Linked DNA regions of Mus musculus. Each later gene encodes a partner of the first gene's protein in a complex. Links are inferred from orthologs where the notes say so. Each region holds a gene or a part of one and is shown in the gene's direction. Other genes may lie near its edges. The genes, in order: Map3k3 and Ccm2.

Evidence for each region.
Region 2: the proteins of Map3k3 (region 1) and Ccm2 are in contact, whole or in part, in a crystal structure (PDB 4Y5O), measured with the Homo sapiens proteins. The link is inferred for Mus musculus from reciprocal best matches to the Homo sapiens genes MAP3K3 and CCM2. Residues at the interface, in NP_002392.2 of Homo sapiens: Asp2, Glu3, Gln4, Ala6, Leu7, Ser9, Ile10, Met11, Asn12, Asp13, Leu14, Val15, Ala16, Leu17, Glu50, Asp82, His84, Met86, Asn88, Glu89, Leu90, Ser91, Ile92, Leu93, Arg117, Leu119, Leu121, Ser122, Gln123, Asp124; in NP_113631.1 of Homo sapiens: Leu299, Tyr302, Met303, Leu306, Arg307, Ser312, Gln313, Ile315, Gln316, Gln317, Phe318, Ala319, Ala320, Leu321, Leu322, His323, Glu324, Arg326, Glu333, Ile336, Asn337, Gln340, Leu341, Leu353, Phe356, Pro358.

What each region holds. Positions count from the first base shown.
Region 1 is NC_000077.6:106,079,702-106,089,232, forward strand, and holds the start of Map3k3 (mitogen-activated protein kinase kinase kinase 3), read left to right. Parts: upstream 1-4,885; 5' UTR 4,886-5,228; coding exon 5,229-5,232; intron 5,233-5,260; exon of another isoform or gene 5,261-6,947; intron 6,948-9,531. UniProt on the Homo sapiens protein: Component of a protein kinase signal transduction cascade. Mediates activation of the NF-kappa-B, AP1 and DDIT3 transcriptional regulators.
Region 2 is NC_000077.6:6,589,957-6,598,048, forward strand, and holds the end of Ccm2 (cerebral cavernous malformations protein 2 homolog), read left to right. Parts: intron 1-796; coding exon 797-932; intron 933-3,110; coding exon 3,111-3,168; intron 3,169-3,645; coding exon 3,646-3,784; intron 3,785-4,191; coding exon 4,192-4,330; intron 4,331-6,124; coding exon 6,125-6,405; 3' UTR 6,406-6,805; downstream 6,806-8,092. Other genes in the region: Nacad (NAC-alpha domain-containing protein 1), read right to left, coding at 7,939-7,953, 8,049-8,092. UniProt on the Homo sapiens protein: Component of the CCM signaling pathway which is a crucial regulator of heart and vessel formation and integrity. May act through the stabilization of endothelial cell junctions. May function as a scaffold protein for MAP2K3-MAP3K3 signaling.

The sequences.
Region 1 (9,531 bases):
GCTAGTACCCAACCTGTGGGTTCCTACACTGCTGTTTAGCAATAGGAAGTGTTGGGTGCAGGAGAGATGGCTCGGTGGGTACAGTGCAAATGCAAGGACCTGAGTTTGAATCTGCAGAACCCAGGTGAAACCCTAAGTGGTAGCTCCTAGACTGTAATCCCAGTGCTCCTACGAAGAGATGGGAGAGAGGCAGGAGCATCCCTAGAAACGTGTGGCCAGCTAGCCTGGAGTGTACACACAGCAGTACACAACAAAAAGATCCTGCCTCAGCCAAGGTGGGACTCAAGGTCATTTGTACATACAAACTACCCCCAACACCACCACACAGGTAAAACACTCCTGGCTTCCTCAGGCTCCTGAATTCATGCATATATTCCTTTCACCCCTACATACATACAAATAATTAAAAATACTCTATCATAACATGTTTAACCATTCGATCAGTGACTATTTGGATGTCTACTTAGAAACGAGGTTACAATGAATTTTCTTTACCTTTGCTTACTTGCAAAGTAAGTTATTCTTTGGGATAAATGTATACCAGCATGACTTTAAAATGAATACTACTTTTATTTAGGAGAAAATACCAATAATTTTTAAGATCTATGAGATATGCATATTATTCCTTGATGACACAGTAAATTAATTGGTTCAGCAGGTAATCTAAAATGTACCCTACTTTATCTCTGAATTAAAAGAATTTTCATGAAACAGGTGACAGGTTTACTGGTATTTTTCTTTTGTAAACCAAACCTATTGATCCCTCCCCTAAGAGAAACTGTCCATTGTTTATTGTTCCTGCTGTGCCCCATTGGCAACATGCACTTGAAAGAAAAGAATGAAAGTGTGCAGCTACTATATAATAGGGCTGCCAGATAGGGCCAGCACTTTTTGGTCCCTGGTACTGGAAGTAGGCATGGCTCAGATACCCACAGGCATTCGGTCACTGTAAAACTAAGAGAAGGTATGGCCCAGCAAGGAAGCTTCACGCAGTGCTAAGAAAGAAGAGAAAGCAACCCACAAAGGGAAGATAAAATACATAACTAAGGGTGTATATGTGGACACTATATTCAATTACTAGTGTTCCCACTTGACACCTCTCTCTCTCTTTCTCTCTCTCTCTCTCTCTCTCTCTCTCTCTCTCTCTCTGTCACACACACACACACACACACACACACACACACACACACACACGCTTTGCTATTTTGAGTCTTGAGTCAGAGTGTCATGCTATGCTATATGGTCCTAACAAATAGGTCTTGTAATATAGTCTAGGGCCTGGCTTTCAACTTGAGGCAATCTTCTTTTGCTTCCTGAGTACTAGGATTACAGGCATGTGTGCACCACCACACCCAGCAGGCATTTCAGATGTACTGAGGAGATGGTTGGCACGCCAGTTTGAAGGACAGCTTCTTCCTTGCTCACCTGTGGCCCCTCCCCCAGTGCTAAGGGAGCAAACCCAGGTTCTTGCCCATTCTAGGTGAACCGTTTACCACCGAGCTACATCCCCTTCCTGACAGCTTCTGTTTACCTGCCTGTTTTACAAAATGCACTTACATGAGAGCAGAACAAGTGCTCTTGGAGCAGAGCAAAGGCCTTCCTTAGCCCAGCTTGAGAGGGAGTGGTGGAGAACTAAGAGGACTTAATCCTCCCTAGAAGGACTGAGACTGGGAGCAGAAATGGAGTACACTCACCACAAAGAACATAGTACACATACGACTGTGTGGGGAGGGAGACAGGGAGGGGAATGTCTTAGTTTGGGTTTTACAGCTGTGAACAGACACTATGACCAAGGTAACTCTTATAAGGACAATATTTAATTGGGGCTGGCTGACAGATTCAGAGGTTCAGTCCATTATCATCAAGGCAGGACACATGGCAGCATCCAGGCAGGCATGTTGCAGGCAGAGCTGAGAGTTCCACATCTTCGTCTGAAGGCTGCTAACAGAATACTGGCTTCCAGGCAGCTAGGATGAGGGTCTTATAGCACACATCCACAGTGACACATCTACTCCAACAAGGCCACACCTTCTAATAGTGCCACTCCCTGGGCCGAGCATATGCAAACCATCACGGGGAATGGATTGAAAAGTTGAGATTGATTTGAGGAATTTTTAGTGTGGCTGCAGCATGGACTTGGGGTGAGAATACTTTGTTACCTCTTTCACATTTGATTCTTTTTTTTTTTTTTTAAATGATCGGTACATGCGTGTGCCTGGTTTATATTTGTGTATGACAACATGCATGCATGGTACTTGTGGAGTTGAAATGAGGGCCCATCCCCTAGAGTTGGATTTACAAGCAGCTGTGAGCTGACCAATGTGGGTGATGGTAACTGAACCTGGGCTCTCTTCTCTGCAAGAGCAACAAGCACTCTTTACTGCTGAGCTCTCTCTCCAGCCCCTATTTGACTCATCTTAAAACTGATGGGTTATAATATTTGTAAATAGGGTTCTCTAGGATCATGTTTCTGATAGAAAGTCTGTGGTGTGAATACACTTTAAGTAAATGAAGTAAGAGATGTTGATGGTTTGAACTGGGCTAGCGGAGCTAGGGTGAAAGAGAGGCAGAAGGACTGGAGACCTGATCACTCGGTGTCTTCCTTGGGGAACTGATGAGCAGAGGAAATGTGAACAGTGGAGGGAAGCGATGGGTTCAGTTTGGACCTGTAGAATGTGAGGTGCCTGTGGAATGCTCAGGAATGTTGCCTCGGGAGCTTAGAACCAAGACCTGCCTGAGCTGGAATCCTCAGCACACAGGGTAACTGCAGCATGGAAATGTTTGACTTCAGTGGCTGAGGGACAAACAGTGGGAATCGAATTCACAAGAAAGGCATCTGAAGGAAAGGCAGAAAGAGGAAGCTTACTAGCTCAGTCATTGGAGAGGCTAAGTGAGATTACATGGCTGGGATCTAGTAAATAGCTGGTGTTTTTCCCTATTGTTTCTTCACCAGAAAAAAAAAAAAAGATTATTCTATTTCAGGCACTTCAGTAAATTAGGGACTTCTTTGTTTTGTTTGTTTGTTTGAGACAGGGTTTCTCTGTGTAACCCTGGCTGTTCTGGAACTCACTCTGTAGACCAGGCTGGCCTCAAACTCTGAAATCTGCCTGCCTCTGCCTCTACCTTCCAAGTGCTGGGATTAAAGGCGTTCACCATCATTACCCGGCATAAATTAGGGACTTAATCAAGTGAGAATATGAGACTTGAGAGTTTGAAGAAAAACGAGTTAGATACAGTGGCACAGGCCTTTAATTTTAATCCCAGTACTCAGGGGGTAGAGGCAGATAGATCTGTGAGTTTCAGACCAGACTACAAAGAAGTTCCAGGACTACAGAGAAACCCTGTCTCGGAAAACAAAAAAACAAAAAAACAAAAAAAAAAGTTCCAGGACAGTCTAGGTTAGAGACTCTGTCTCAAACAACAAACACCTCGTACACACACACACACACACACACACACACACACACACACGAGAGAGAGAGAGAGAGAGAGAGAGAGAGAGAGAGAGAGAGAGAGAGGACAATAAAGTTAATAGTATGGGTTGAGAGTGGGGATGAAGAAAAAGAATTGCGTAAGACACTCCTTAAGAGATCTGATACTCCAAAGCCACCTCCTAAGGTAAGTGTTTCTAAATGACAACTGAAAATGGCATCAGATTTTTCTGGAATCTGAAATATGTCATTGGAACTGTCTCCAGAGAAAGGGAAGCCACACTAACTGTGGTAGAGTTGGAATCTTAAGACTGGGTGTATGAATTATTGAAACAATGGAGGTTGAAAAAGTTAATCACAATGCTCTTTTGAAAGATCACACAGCCAGTACAATTGTTTTGAGACAATATTTAGTGGCACAGGAAGCACAAAAGTGTAAGCACACCAGAAAACAATATGAAGTTATTTTTTGTCTAACGTTGCATATCTAGGTAGGAAATAGATAAAACTATCTTCAGGGTAGGGCTTTTCTTTCTGTTTTCCTGCACTTTTAAGTTTTCTTTTAAAAACGTGTCTCGCTTTTATAATTCTAAGAGCAAAACTTGTCCAAAAGCAACTCTAGCAGAACTCAGAATGTGGGGACCCACATTCCAGCACTAGCCTAGCCTTTGAAGACGGAGTATCAGGTGTGGCCTCGGAGGTCTGAGACCCAGGGGGATGAGAGAAGTAACAAGACCATCCCCCTGCCTGTAAGCCGAGGCTACTCAGGGTATCGCGCAGCTCAAGTAGCCTGAAAGCATCGAGCCAAACCTTCCCTGCCCAATCCGCGCCAGACACTTTGCCCCAGCAGGGGCCGGACACCTCAGCACCTCGAGGTCGCCAACAACCGACAACCATAGGGCCGAAGGTTTTCTTTTTCTGAGGGCCTCTACAGAAGACGACTTTGCAAGGCGCCAGGCCGGGGTAGCCGCCGAGGGGAACGGCGCCAGCCCGCGCGCCCGCCGAGGGTTCCGCAACTGAGCAGAGGGTTGTGGGCGGAGCCTCAAGCCGGAGCAGTGATTGGAGCAGCCCACACCTTGGCCAGAGAGGCTGAGAGCGCCAGCTAGCGACACTCCGCGGCGGGTACTCAGCGCTCTCTCCGTGATTGGCTAGGCGCGAGAGGACGGGCGCTGTCTCAGTGATTGGCAGGCTCTAGCCAGCCCTCGGAAATCGCCTTGACTTCGCCCATTGGCATCCTGTGAGAGTAGGCGGGATTGGTCCGTCGTGATTAGCTGGCGGATGAGAGTGAGGGCGTTGGGAGAGAGCGGGGAGGAGGAGGCGGGAGTATCTGACTTCCTCCTGGTTATTGGCTGGTAATGAGAGTGGGGGTAGTGCCAAGGCCCAGCGGCTGCATGCGATTGGCAGATGCTGGCATGAGTGACAGGCTGCAAGGCTTGCTGCGCGCCCAGCGGTTTGTTTTTCGGAGCGTTCCTGAGGTGGAGAACAGTGGCCGGTCGGAGCGTCTTCTGGACTTCAGGACTCGCAGGCGGCCCGGTCGAGTGGCGCCGCCGAGGCCGGGTTGGGCCGAGCCTGGGAGCGCCGGGGATGTAGCGGGCCAACCTGCTCATGCCACAGCGCCCGGCCGCGGCCGGAGCCGGAGCCTGGGGAGGCGGCGGGGGCCCCGAGCGCAGCCCACGGCCCCCGCGCGGAGCCAGGCCCGCTGCCGTCCCCGCCGCCCGCTCCCCCGGCATGCAGCCCCGGCTGCGGAGGTGACACTTCTGGGCTGTAGTCGCCACCGCCGCCTCCGCCATCGCCACCATGGGTGAGTACCGCCACCGCCCCGGCCTGTGCCCGCGCTGCTTCGCGACGCCCCGCCCCAGGCTGAGGGGAGGAGGACCCTGGGCCGCCGCCTGACAAGGCATGGACAGTTCGCCGGGCCCGGGGCTGAGGATCGCGGACCGCTCGCCTCTCCGCGGTGCCTCGATCGGGGCGCCGTTCTGGCTACCTCCGGGGGTGCCCTACCGGCCAAACCCACTCGGCAACTCTCTTTCCGGGCATGCGGCCGGCGTATCCCGGGGAGGGGTCTGCGGGACCGAGGCCCGTCGGGCGGCCCACTGCGGTCCCCAGCGAGCTGGCGCGCGAGCTTGAGGGTGGGGGAGCCGGAGCTCAGTGTGGGGCCGGGGCTGGAGCCTGGTGCAGGCCCAGCTGCTGTTGTGTCTTTTCCTTGATTTGCTTTTTTTTTTTTTTTTTTTTCCTGCCTGTGTCATTTCCTTCCCTTTGCTCACACAGGCTGGCCTGTGAGTTCCCGGGGCTTTGCTCTGGAGCTCTGTGCGCTCTCCTGCGCGGGGGAGGGGGACGCGGGGGGAGGGTATGCGGGGCATCCACTGCGACGCTATTCGACGCGGATCCCTGTTAGCAATAGCAGGCTTGAGAAATGCGAGCTGCGCTCCTCGCAGATTACTGGAAGTTAAGAATCCTTGAGCGCTGAGGGTTATAACTCAAACCCTACTTTTGGAAAAACCCGGCTTTTATATTTATCCTGCGCTACCCCTGCAACTATGTAACTTTTTGAAAGAGGCATTCGGTACATAAAAGGATCACTATGAAATCATTTCCTTTTTGTCAGTATTTGTAATTCTCCTGTGAAGATGTAATCTAAGAAAAGTTTTTTTAATGCCTTCTACAAAATATTTGAGCTGTTTTATATATATTTTGCATAATTTTGGTTCTTTATCAAAAAGTCTTGGACTTAGCTAAGGAATGTGTGACATTTTAAATATATTTTGCTTCCCCAGTTGGGGCAGGTATTGTGATGCTCATTTTCCTGGTCTCAATCAGGTTTTGCAAAAATATTTAGTATTATTCTAAGTCAGAAAGGGGTGAAATTTAGTGAAAGTCTCCTTTGCAGAAGTATTCATTGCTTGTGTGAGTGCTCCATAAGATGAAATGCTAATGTTTGTTTTGCCCTAAAGCAAGGTCAAGTCATTTTTGTAGGAGGTTTTGTGGGTGCAGTAGCAAATTGGCCAGATACTCGATTGTGGTGGAACTCCTTACTCTGGCTTTAAGTTAATTGCTTTGTTCTTTATCAGACTGCCCCTCATACAGTATGGGAAGGATTTGTTCATTTGCTGGGTTTTCTATTCCCTTTCCATGCTATATTTCAGATTTTTTTTTCTATAGAACTCTCATCTGAGAGACACCAAAGGAAACTAGTAAGGATTTACATTTCAACATTTATTTATTCACATGTCTAATACAATATATTCCAATAAATGTTTATGGAATGCTTATTATATGGGGCACATATTTCCTTATATATTATTGGGGAACAGAATTCTTTTTATCCTTCCCTGTTTCCCCACATTTACCTACTGCTACAGACTTTAAGCTAGATCTTTGAATTATGGACCTGTATTGTAATAGTCTTATACGCTTTCCTTCTTGCCCGGTGTGTGAGCCTTAAGTCGCAAACGGGAGTATGAGACCCTTGAGGATATACAGACCTCACATGGAACACTTTGGTTGTAAAACCAGTGTGTGAGTATCCAATAATGACGGCAACGTCTCATTATCTAGTATGAAAATAGAGGAGAGCCTGTTTTCAAATTTGAAGATGTTTTCAGCTAGTGTATGAACATGTTTTCGGAAAGGCCTTGCTGGGAGGAAAGAAACTCCGTGGGTAAAGTCCCAAAGGAAAAAGAACAGGGAGCATGGTGTCTTTTTATTTGAGCCCATGTCACTTTTTAAATGTATTTGTGTTTCCAGTGCTGGGCATCAAACCTAAGTCTTGTGAAGGCTAGGCAGGCATCTGTCACTGAGCTCCGTCCCTAGCATTCTCTTAAATACCTTTGCTTTCCTCTCTCTGTCTTTCTCTCACATTTAAAAAATTATTTATTTTTATTTCATCTGCATTGGTGTTTTGCTTGCATGTATACCTGTGTGAGGGTGTGAGCTACAGACAGTTTTGAGCTGCTATGTGTGTGCTGGGAATTGAACCCAAGTTGTCTGGAAGATCACCCTGTATGTCTTCTTAACTTCTAAGCCATCTCTCTAGCTCTTTCTTTCTTCCTTTTTTGTTTTTGTTGTTTGTTGTTGTTCTGAGATAGTCTTCTTGTGTAGTCCTAGCTACCCTGGAACTTGCTGTGTAGACCAGGCTGTTCTTAAATTTATTGTAATTCCTGTTTCCTCAGAACCTAATAAACAAACAAACTCAAACATTTAATAAAGAAGAATCTAATTTCTTAATATTTTCATTACATTTAAACTCCAGGCCAGTGACTAGAGGCTAAAATTAATTTGCATATCTGCTCTGCAGATACTTTAATCCATAGTCATATTTTCCTGAGTGGTTCTATGCTCCAGACTGAAGCCTGTTTGACAACTTGACTTATTAGTAAAAACAGGTCAGATTTTATATTGTCTGTTAGCCTCAGCAAAAGTCTAGTGGATGCTGCAACTTATCCTTGTAAAAAGTGGGAAATCTTTGTTTAGTTTTTTGGCTTTGAAACTGTGTGACTATTGAAAAATTTTTTTTCTTGGACATACTAGAATTTCCTCCAGTAATTATAGTAATGCTGTTAATAATTCCTGGGACTTATTTGTTCTTGTTTATTTGTTCTTTTTCTAAATATAACTTGAAGCTTAGGGGAATGTATTAAAACTGGGTAAGGACTTGGAAATATTACAGGAATCTAGGGAACTGAATACAGGATTAAAAATGGTTGGTTCTGGATTGACAACTTGGTTTGAATTGTAATAATTATAACTTACAGAACTAGGTTTGAGTTTTTATGGTTCCAAGGCTTTTGGGAGAACCTAAGAACAGTCTCAATATGTCTAGACTGTAGTAAGCTCAGCATGATTAACAACTGTTTTGAGAGAATCTTGAATCACAGTTTAATAAATTAACATGCCTATATCATGAGTAGATTTTGATTTTTCTTTCCTTTTTGTTGTTGTTGTTCTCCTCCTCCTCTTCTTCCTCTTCCTCCTCCTCCTCCTCCTTCTTTTTTAGGGTTTATTTTTATGGGGCTGGAGAGATGGCTCAGTGGTTAAGAACACTGACTGCTCTTCCAGAGGTCCTGAGCGCAATTCCCTTACAACCATCTGTAATGGGATTCGATGTCCTCTTCTGTTGTGTCTGAAGACAGTTTTTTTTTTTTTTTAAGATTTATTTTTATTTATATGCATGTGTTTGTGTGAATGTCAAAAGAGAGATCTATCAAAGCTGGAGTTGCAGGAAGTTGTGAGCTGCATGATGAGGGTGAGGGTGCTAGGAGCTGAGCTCAGGTCCTTTAGAAAAGTGGGACAAGCTCTTACCCGCTGAATGACCTCTCCTGCTCCTGATTCTTGTTTTTGAGACAGGATCTCAGGGCATCCATACATGTCTCGTGTAGAATTTTGACGTAGTATTAAATTATTTCTTTTAACGTGTAATGTGTTTTACCTGCAAGTGTGTGTGTGTGTGTGTGTGTGTGTGTGTATGTGTGTGTGTGTGTACATACTACATGTGGGCCTGGAGCCCTCAGTCTGGAAGGGGATGTCAGATCCCATGAAACTAGAATAACATACTGTTGTGAGCTGGCATGTAGGTGCTGGGAATTAAGCCTCTGTTCTCTGGAAGAACAGCCAGAGCTCTTAACTGCTGAGCCATCTCTCCCAGCCCTGACTTTTGATATTTTTTTAAATGACAGTTGTGGGTGGAAAAGACAGTTTAGTGAGTAAGAGTGCTTGCCCAGCAAGCATAAAGACCTGAGTCTGAGTCTGTGGCATCTGCATTAAAAGCTAGGAAAGGCTTTAACCTGTAACCCCAGCATTGGGGGAGAAGGCATGTAGCTCTTGAGAGCTCCCTGTTTGGCTAACCAGCTTAGCTGAAATGGTGTACTTCCAGTTCAGTGAGGGACCCCATTTTAAGACAGAAAGGTAAAGCGCACCAAGTGTTCTGCTCTCCACATGTATATGCACAGGTGAGCCCCTCATGTGCACACCCACAAGTACACAAAAAAATTAAGGATAAATAAATGAAAAATAAAAAATGATAGTGTGCAATTGTTCACAAGAAGAGACCATTCTGTATTTTAAGAGTTGGGACACACACACACACAAAACACACATGTAATAT
Region 2 (8,092 bases), about 99 Mb from region 1:
GCGTTTGCTTACCAGTCTCCTCTTTGGAATGCCTCTCCCCACTCTCACACTGACTGATAGTGATGGCTACAGGCATGGCGACCTGTATACCACGCCCTCCTGGTACTTCAAACAAAGATAGCGTTTCCTCAGCACATGGCAGTCACAGCGGCACAAAGATGAGCCGTGGAGCCTCAGGACTCACTTGACATCTTCCATGCAGTTTTTGCCTCTTGCTTTCATTGACTAATGGTGACTTCCCACCTAAATGTCCTCTGGCTCACCTCACTTAGCCTACGTGCTAGTGATGCTCTCAATCAAATACTTTGTTGTGGGCAGCTACCGAAGCACTGCAGAGTCTGAGCAATGTCCCCAGATACTGTTCTACGGTTCTGGACAAAATTAACCCTCTAAAGAAGCCCTGTTTTAAACAGCACACTGTTACAGAAGGACGCTACTTCTTTTGGAAATGTCTAAGGTTGGAAGTGAGACCAGGATGTCTTCTCTCTCTTACTTGGGCTTAGATGGGAATTTTGAACATTGATGACCAGTTACCGGAAGAGGAGGCAAAGCTGATGCCAACACCCGTGGCCTTCAGATGCCTGTAAGGGCCACACTGGGCCATAGTCTCTTCTCAGGCCTGTTTCTGTTTTGTGATACCCTGGGCTGTGACAGGCACTGGGCCCTTTGGTTCTGGTCTGCTCCCCATTTATATTGTTGGTGCCTCTGAGACATTATGGGTACCCTAGAGACTGTGGGAAAGTGCTGTCTGCAGCGTTAGCCACTGAGGACGGTTGCTGTTATTCACTCACTCTAGGTCGCCGCTGAAGAGTTGTGCTCCCTGCTCAGCCAGGTCTTCCAGATTGTTTACACGGAGTCCACCATCGACTTTCTGGACCGAGCAATATTTGATGGGGCTTCCACACCTACCCACCACCTGTCGCTGCACAGTGGTATGTTGAATGGAAGGGGCCGGCTAGGGGTCATGAGCAGTTCATCTGGAAGCATAGGTTCCCAGACAGGGATGCTGGGGAACTGGGTAGGTGGGGCCCGTTTTGGGGGCCTTTTGGTATGCCCGAGCAGCTCTCAGCGTGTGGCCCCTTGCAAGAGCACAGCGAGATGCTTGAAGTTGTTCTGGCTTTGTGAAAGGCCGAGACCAGGAAACTGGAGAGTGGCAGGGCCGTACCTCTGCACCACGATAAAGGCTAGTGGAAGTGCTGTGCAGACCTCCTGCTAGTCTGTAGATACTTCCTGTCTGGGTGTGGTGACATATCTGTTATCCTAGAACCCAGGAGATAGAGGCAGGAGGATTGCTACAAGTTTGAGACCAGCCTGGGCTACGTAGGCAGACCCTGTTTTACAGTAGCACACTTCTTACCTGAGTTACATTTCTCACTGCGGTACCTAATACCTAACAAGGTGCAGTGTGAGGGAGGGATGGTTATGGCCTCCCCTCATGATGAGGAAGCCACAGCTGGAGGGGGAGGCATGGTGGCAGGTGTCAGAAGGCTCTGTAGCATTTGTGGTTGGGAAACCAGGAGGGAGAGGAGCAAGTGGGGCTAGGTTGCAACACATCAAAGCTAGTGACCCCTTTCTTCAGCAAAACTCCATAGATTTCTCATACAGTGCCACCAGTTGGAGATTAAACGTTCAAACCCATGAGTGTTGAAACAACCTGTGGGAAACAGTTGACATTCAAACCAGTTGCTGGAGGCCCATCCCAGCATGCAAATGGCAGTCAAGTGATGCAAAATGAATTCATTCTAACTTCAGAAGTCCCTGTGGCCCTTGACAGTCCCAGTACTGTTCAAAAGTCCAGTCTCTCCCCAGAACACATGACAGACCTTTACCAAAGCCAGGTTACATACTTTGAATCCACTTCTAGGACACAGTGGCACAGGGTGAACATTTTCCCTCCAAAAGGAAGGATGGGGCAGAGCAGGGAAAGATCAAAGATCTGTAAGACCAAAACCAAGTGGGAAGCAACAGTATCTGGGCACATGGTGGGATAGCCCCAGCTCCAAGGGTCTCTGGCTTTTTTTGTCTGCAGCTCACAGCCTCTTTCCTGGGATGGCTACGATCAACAATCTAGCTTTCTTTCACAGACATGCCTTAGTTTCTGGCCTCTGCAACATCCTGAGGTCTGTGCTGCAACGTAGGCTTTACCTTCACAGCCCCAAACCGTGGTGTCTCATCCCTGGGCTTCCTTGTAGGGTTCTGATCCTGCTAAATGTTGCTTGGCTTTAGCAGCTTTCTGGAACCATGGTATAAGTTACCACGGCCCCTCAGTCTTGCATTTTTCATGCCTCTATCACCAATACCATGTGGACAGTACTGTCAAGTTGTACCCCAGCTCTTGGACCTCATGGACCACCATGGCAGCAGCATACACTTTGTTGGGTAATTGTTTTCAAGGAACACAAAGTCTCTTCAGCTTTATTTGAGGTCTTCCTGTCCTCCTGGGTAGAGTGGTGAGCAGTACCCTCACTGAAGCCTAATGCTGTTCCACCTTGAAATTTCCTGTTACATAAATACATTAGTTCAGGACATGAGCAGAGTGCTACCAGCTCCTATACCAGGGTGTAACCTGAATGGCCTTTAACCTAGTTCCCAATAGAGCCTATTCCATACCTGAAACATATGAGCAGTTTTCACCATGTCCATTTCTGTCACCATTCTGGTTTTCCAAACTGCTACCAGAGTGTCCCATTAAGCCCTAAGTTCTAGGCTCTTCCACATTCTTCCTACCGGCCAGTTTCCAAGGCCTATGAACCACACACTCAGGTTTGTTTCTGCAAAGGCCCTATCCTGATACTATAATCTGTTAGTGTTCTTTAGGGAACAAACCCACAGAATGAATATATACTACAAGGGGGTTCATTGGATTGGCCCACACAACACAGGCTGGGTAGTCCAGCAGTCCGTCTGCACAATGAAAGGCTGAATTCCGCACCTGCTCAGCCTGTGGCGCTGGGTGAGGCTGTCATGTGAGGGAGAGCTCAACATGGCTTCCTGTGTGTCAGTGGGAGGCGAGGCCATTGGGAAAGGCAGAGATATACGTGTGGTGAAGATTAAGGAAGCCTCTAGGGCAGCAGTTCTCACCCTCTGTGTCCTCTACGTCTTTTGCACAGATGACTCTTCCACGAAAGTGGACATGAAGGACAGTTACGATGCTGACGCCAGCACCTTGTGAGTACACGCACTAAGTGCGTCATCAAATGCTGGGTCTTCCGTGTCTGCTCTCTAGCTTGGCCCTGCAAGTCCTCTTAGCTACAGAGTCTGCCTCTAGGCCCTGTCAGTCCTTTCTCATCCCTACCTTCCACAGAAGTAACCTTGGAAAAGGCACAAAATGGTGATGCCGGGCAGCCTTCTAAAGCCTGTTAGCCCAGCCAGAGCATTCGCGCAGCCTTCCTGACCCTCTACTGCTGTCTGTCAGCTCTGGCTCGGCCTTCTGCCCTAGCTCTCCCTCCCTTTGCCCATTTGAGAGTCACTCAGGTTGGCTGGCTCCTGAGATCTCCTTTATCTCCATGTGTGGCTTATGCACAAGCAGTCCTCCTTAGTCGGTGTTCGTGCTTGTATTTGTGAGCAGGCCTGTCGGCCCCAGCCCACAGCAGCCACAGGAGGTTGGGTTGTGAGGCCACCCACATTGAACCTTGTGCTTTGCAGCTGCTTCCCGGACTCTGGGGATGTGGGAGGCCTGCCGCCCTTACCCTTCTGCATGCAGACATCACCCCATAGCAAGACTGTCAGTGAGAGCGAGCTGAGCACCAGCGCCACGGAACTGCTGCAGGACTACATGCTCACGGTAGGCAGTGGCCTCCTCACTCGCCTGGCTTTACTATTGGGTCTGGGGGGGCGGGGGAGGTCTGGGGGCCTGAGTTGGTGCTAGGCTGTTTGGTCTGGACCATGCTGGTACTGATTCGAAACAGCAGCTCTGCTGGTGCCTGGGCCTGATGCCTCTGTTTGAAGTCAGCCTTCTGGTTCTGTGTACCCCCAGGTCACCCTGTGTACCCTTGCTGTTCCACGCAGAGCTAGCTTCATTCTCTTTAGCCCTACTGAGGAACCTTTTGTTTCAAGACAGCAGATCTGTGTTTGCCCTGGTTCCTTGTGTAGCTCCTCTGTTGGCCCTGATGACAGACACATGGTGGCATTCTACCTCTACAGCAAGGCCACACTAAGCCCTCCTTACTCTGCACTTCTGTTCCCTCACAGTTACGTACGAAGCTGTCATCACAGGAGATCCAGCAGTTCGCAGCTCTGCTACATGAGTACCGCAATGGGGCCTCTATCCATGAGTTTTGCATCAGCCTGCGGCAGCTCTATGGGGACAGCCGCAAGTTCCTGCTACTTGGTGAGTGGGGCACGGAGGGCCGCTGGTCCCCTCTGGGAATGTGCAGAGTCCAGAAGGGAGGAGCTCCATCCCATGGGTCTCATCATAGCTTGGCTGAGGCTGCAGGACTGGCATAGGTACTTGGAAGGGCCCTTCTCCTTCTACTCAGAGCCTGAGCCTTGAGCTGAGCTGGTTGGGCTCTGCCAGGAAGTGAGAGAAGGCCCTGAGACTGAGTCTAAACAAAACCATCAGATCTCAACTGTGCTGCTGGCAAGAGTCCAGGCTCTTTAAGGGGGTACCTTTGTCAGTGGGTTTTGGGGAACAGGTAGAAATTTGTTGAGTGGAGAAGCAAAGACACCAACTAGACAGAAGGCGCCTCTCTTGTACATCTTTGTGCAAGACTCACAAAGTGCCTGGCACATCCTTCAGAGCCACTGCCAGTCTCGGTGTAAGGCTGCCACAACAGCCTCGGTGGAAGGAACAGTGCTGCCACATCAGCCTCCCCTCTGTGTCGTCCCCTGCTTCCAGCAGTCAGAACAGTGAATGGCTCAGCTCACAGAAAGCTCTGAGGGTCTTCCTGTGCTCTAGTAAACCAGGGAGGCCAGCTGGTCTTATGTTGTATAGGCCCGGTGAGCATCAGCATCAGCATCTACCTGGGGCTGTCTGTGGTGAGGAAGGACTAGAGACTAGACGTAGTCTGAGCACCTCACTCCCTGCAGGATCAGGTACCCAGCAAGGCTCACATTCCAGGTCCCTGGCATCTAGCCCAGAATGAACATTCAGAAGCCTGAAGCCAGCTTCTTCCCATTTTGTTCTCGGCTGCTACCTCTATGTCCGAAATGGCAACAGAGCCAGGCACGACAGGACCCAGATGTAATCTGAGCACTTAGGAGACGTGAGGCAGGAGGATAGCAAGTTCAAGATTAGCTTTGAGCTATATAGTAAGAATCTCAGAAAAAGTAGGTTGGAAGAAAGTTGAGCTGTGGATACCTGCTGCTTAGAGTCCTGTGTCTGGCACTGTTTCTAGGCCTCTCTACCACCTCCTGGCCCCCACCTAAGCAGGCTTTTGTAGGAATACAGAGTCTCATGCAGGTCAGGCTGGCCTCAAACTCTCTGTGTAGGGGAGGGTGACCTTGAGCGCCTTAGCTTCTGTTTCCTGCGTTCTGAAATTAGTAGTGAACATGATATGTCAGGGTTCTCTTAAAGGCTCCACCTCAGGAGAATGCGGTCTGTAAACTCATCTGATGTGTTCATGAAACCCTTATCCTGGCTGGGTGGGGGCCCAGCCTGCCTGCCCACATCAAGGTTTGGGATTCTGAGATAATGGTCTTCCTGAGTAGGACTGGTTTCGGCATGAGTCCTGGCTCTGAAGACAGACCTCATTGCCAATAGCTTTGTGGCTTTTGCATTCTGTCCTGTTAGATAGGGGCTTCGAGGGTCTGATGGCTGATGCCATGCCTCAAAGCTAGAGGGTGAGATTGATAGAAGGCAAGCTATTCATAGCTGGGGCCCTTGTCAGTCAGGTTTAATTAAACCTGGCTCCAGGGCACAGCTTGTGTGGTGTGGGGGTCCTGAGCCCCCTCTGGGGTTGGGGTCCTGAGCCCCCTCTGAGGTGTCACTCTGGGGTTGGGGTCCTGAGCCCCCTCTGAGGTGTCACTCTGAGGTGGGGGTCCTGAGCCCCTCTGAGGTGTCACTCTGGGGTGGGGGTTCTGAGCCCCTCTGAGATGTCACTTTGGGGTTGGGGTCCTGAGCCCCTCTGGGGTGTCACTCTGAGGAGTCACTCTGAGGTATCACTCTCGGGTTGTGTGTTGCCAGGTCTCAGACCCTTCATACCTGAGAAGGACAGTCAGCACTTTGAAAACTTCCTGGAGACCATTGGCGTGAAAGACGGCCGTGGCATCATCACTGACAGCTTTGGTAGGCATCGTCGTGCCCTGAGTACCACCTCCACATCCACCATCAATGGGAACAGGACCACAGGCAGCCCTGATGACCGCTCTGCGCCCTCAGAGGGGGATGAGTGGGACCGCATGATTTCAGACATCAGTAGTGATATTGAAGCGCTAGGCTGCAGCATGGACCAGGACTCAGCGTGAAGGAGCGGGACAGCACACACTTGTCTCACACAGCCATCCCAGGCCTTCCTGGGAGGAGTGCCCAGACCTGAGTGCCAGCCTTTCCCAGCTTGGAGCTAGGGAGGGGCTGAAGAGAAAGGTAGCTCTGGTGGCCAGGTCCTCTACTGTGAAGGAGTGGAGAGCTGCCACAGGACATGTGCCCCACAGGGCAGAAACCTCTGTGCCTATTCCTCAGGGGCTCAGCAATGCCTGTAGCATATCCCCACTCGGGGAGGGCCAGGGGCAGCTGGCAGGGGAGCCAGTCCTGCCGGCCTGGCCCTGGACAGCTGATATTTGCACATGACTTTCCTCTTCTACTTCTCAGAGACCTTAAAAACAAGTTTACTGCAATGTGAATAATTTAATCTCCAGTTGTCAAGCATTTTTTTTCCTATTCTAATTGGTTGAAAGCCATGTTGTCACAAGTGGGGAGGGGTCTATTCTGGCCCCTGTCTACTGGATCATGACTGCCCATAGCATCCTGGGCTGGGGTAGAAGAGATGACTGGTACTTCTGTTTTGGCTCTGTGGACAAGGGACAGGAGCAGGCATGTTGGTATCTCGTACACGCCAGGGCTGCCTTGATCTATGCATTCTGTGTATAGATTATTCCAAGGACAGTCCCATGCTCTGTCCCTGTCCCTAAGCCTCCTTGATGGTCAGAAGTGCACTGTATAAGGAAGAGGGCAGCCTACGAGCTGAGAGTCGGGGCTGCTGGAAGGCTGATGTGGGTCCTGTGGCCCTCACTCTGTCCCCTGCCAGTCAGCTCCTCACTTCCTGTCAACTTCATTCTGGCCTCTACCCTCTAGTCCCTGTGAAGCCCCCTAGCTACCAGGAGAGGAGGGACGTGACCTGGGGTCAGTGACCTGCCCTAGAAAGCTAGGCCGAGGAGACTGGTCACGTGCCTCTGTTGCCCATACTTGGGGAGGAAGCTCTGTGTACTAGACAGAAGGCCTGGGATGGTTGTGGCAGAGCCCTTGGGGCTCTTTGAACACCTCAGTTGTATCCAGCACAAGCCACAGTGTCCCTGGGATCTCATGAATGCTTTCCTCAGCAGTATTGTGGCTTCAGGACAGTATTTGACAGAATTCTCCTGTCACCTGTCCTGGGTCTAGACATGGGAGCCTAGGCCAAGGCAAGGCAGTCAAGACACTGTTGGCTGCTCTCTCGATTTACATGCAGCTAATTCTCTCCTTGAAGTGGAGACCCCACCAGGACACCAGCGGGGTACATGTGGAAGTAAAGGACCAGGGCAGCCGGGACAGGGGTTACATGGGCACGCTGCCAAAGAGAGGTGAAGGGACTCCGGGGGATGACAGGGCCACAGGGTGAGGATGAGGAGACACCAAGGGACACTAGAGGGCAGTGACCAGACATCAAAGGCCCTGATGAGACACCTAGGGGTGATGAGATGATACCACAGAACTGAGGGGACTCCAGAGGGTGATCATGTGACACGGCTTTATTGAGCTGCAGAGCTGAGGAGAGGCAGGACGCCCCTGCTTCCAGTCAGCAGCTACATTGTCAGTTCCTGCAGAAGAAGCAAGCGTCATGTTAGCAGAGGGTCTTTTGCGAAGGACCTCCCTAGAGACATCTGGGCTGAAAAAGGAGTCAATATGTGCTCACCATGATAGCATTGACAATATCACTGTGGTTGTCCTTCAGGGCCC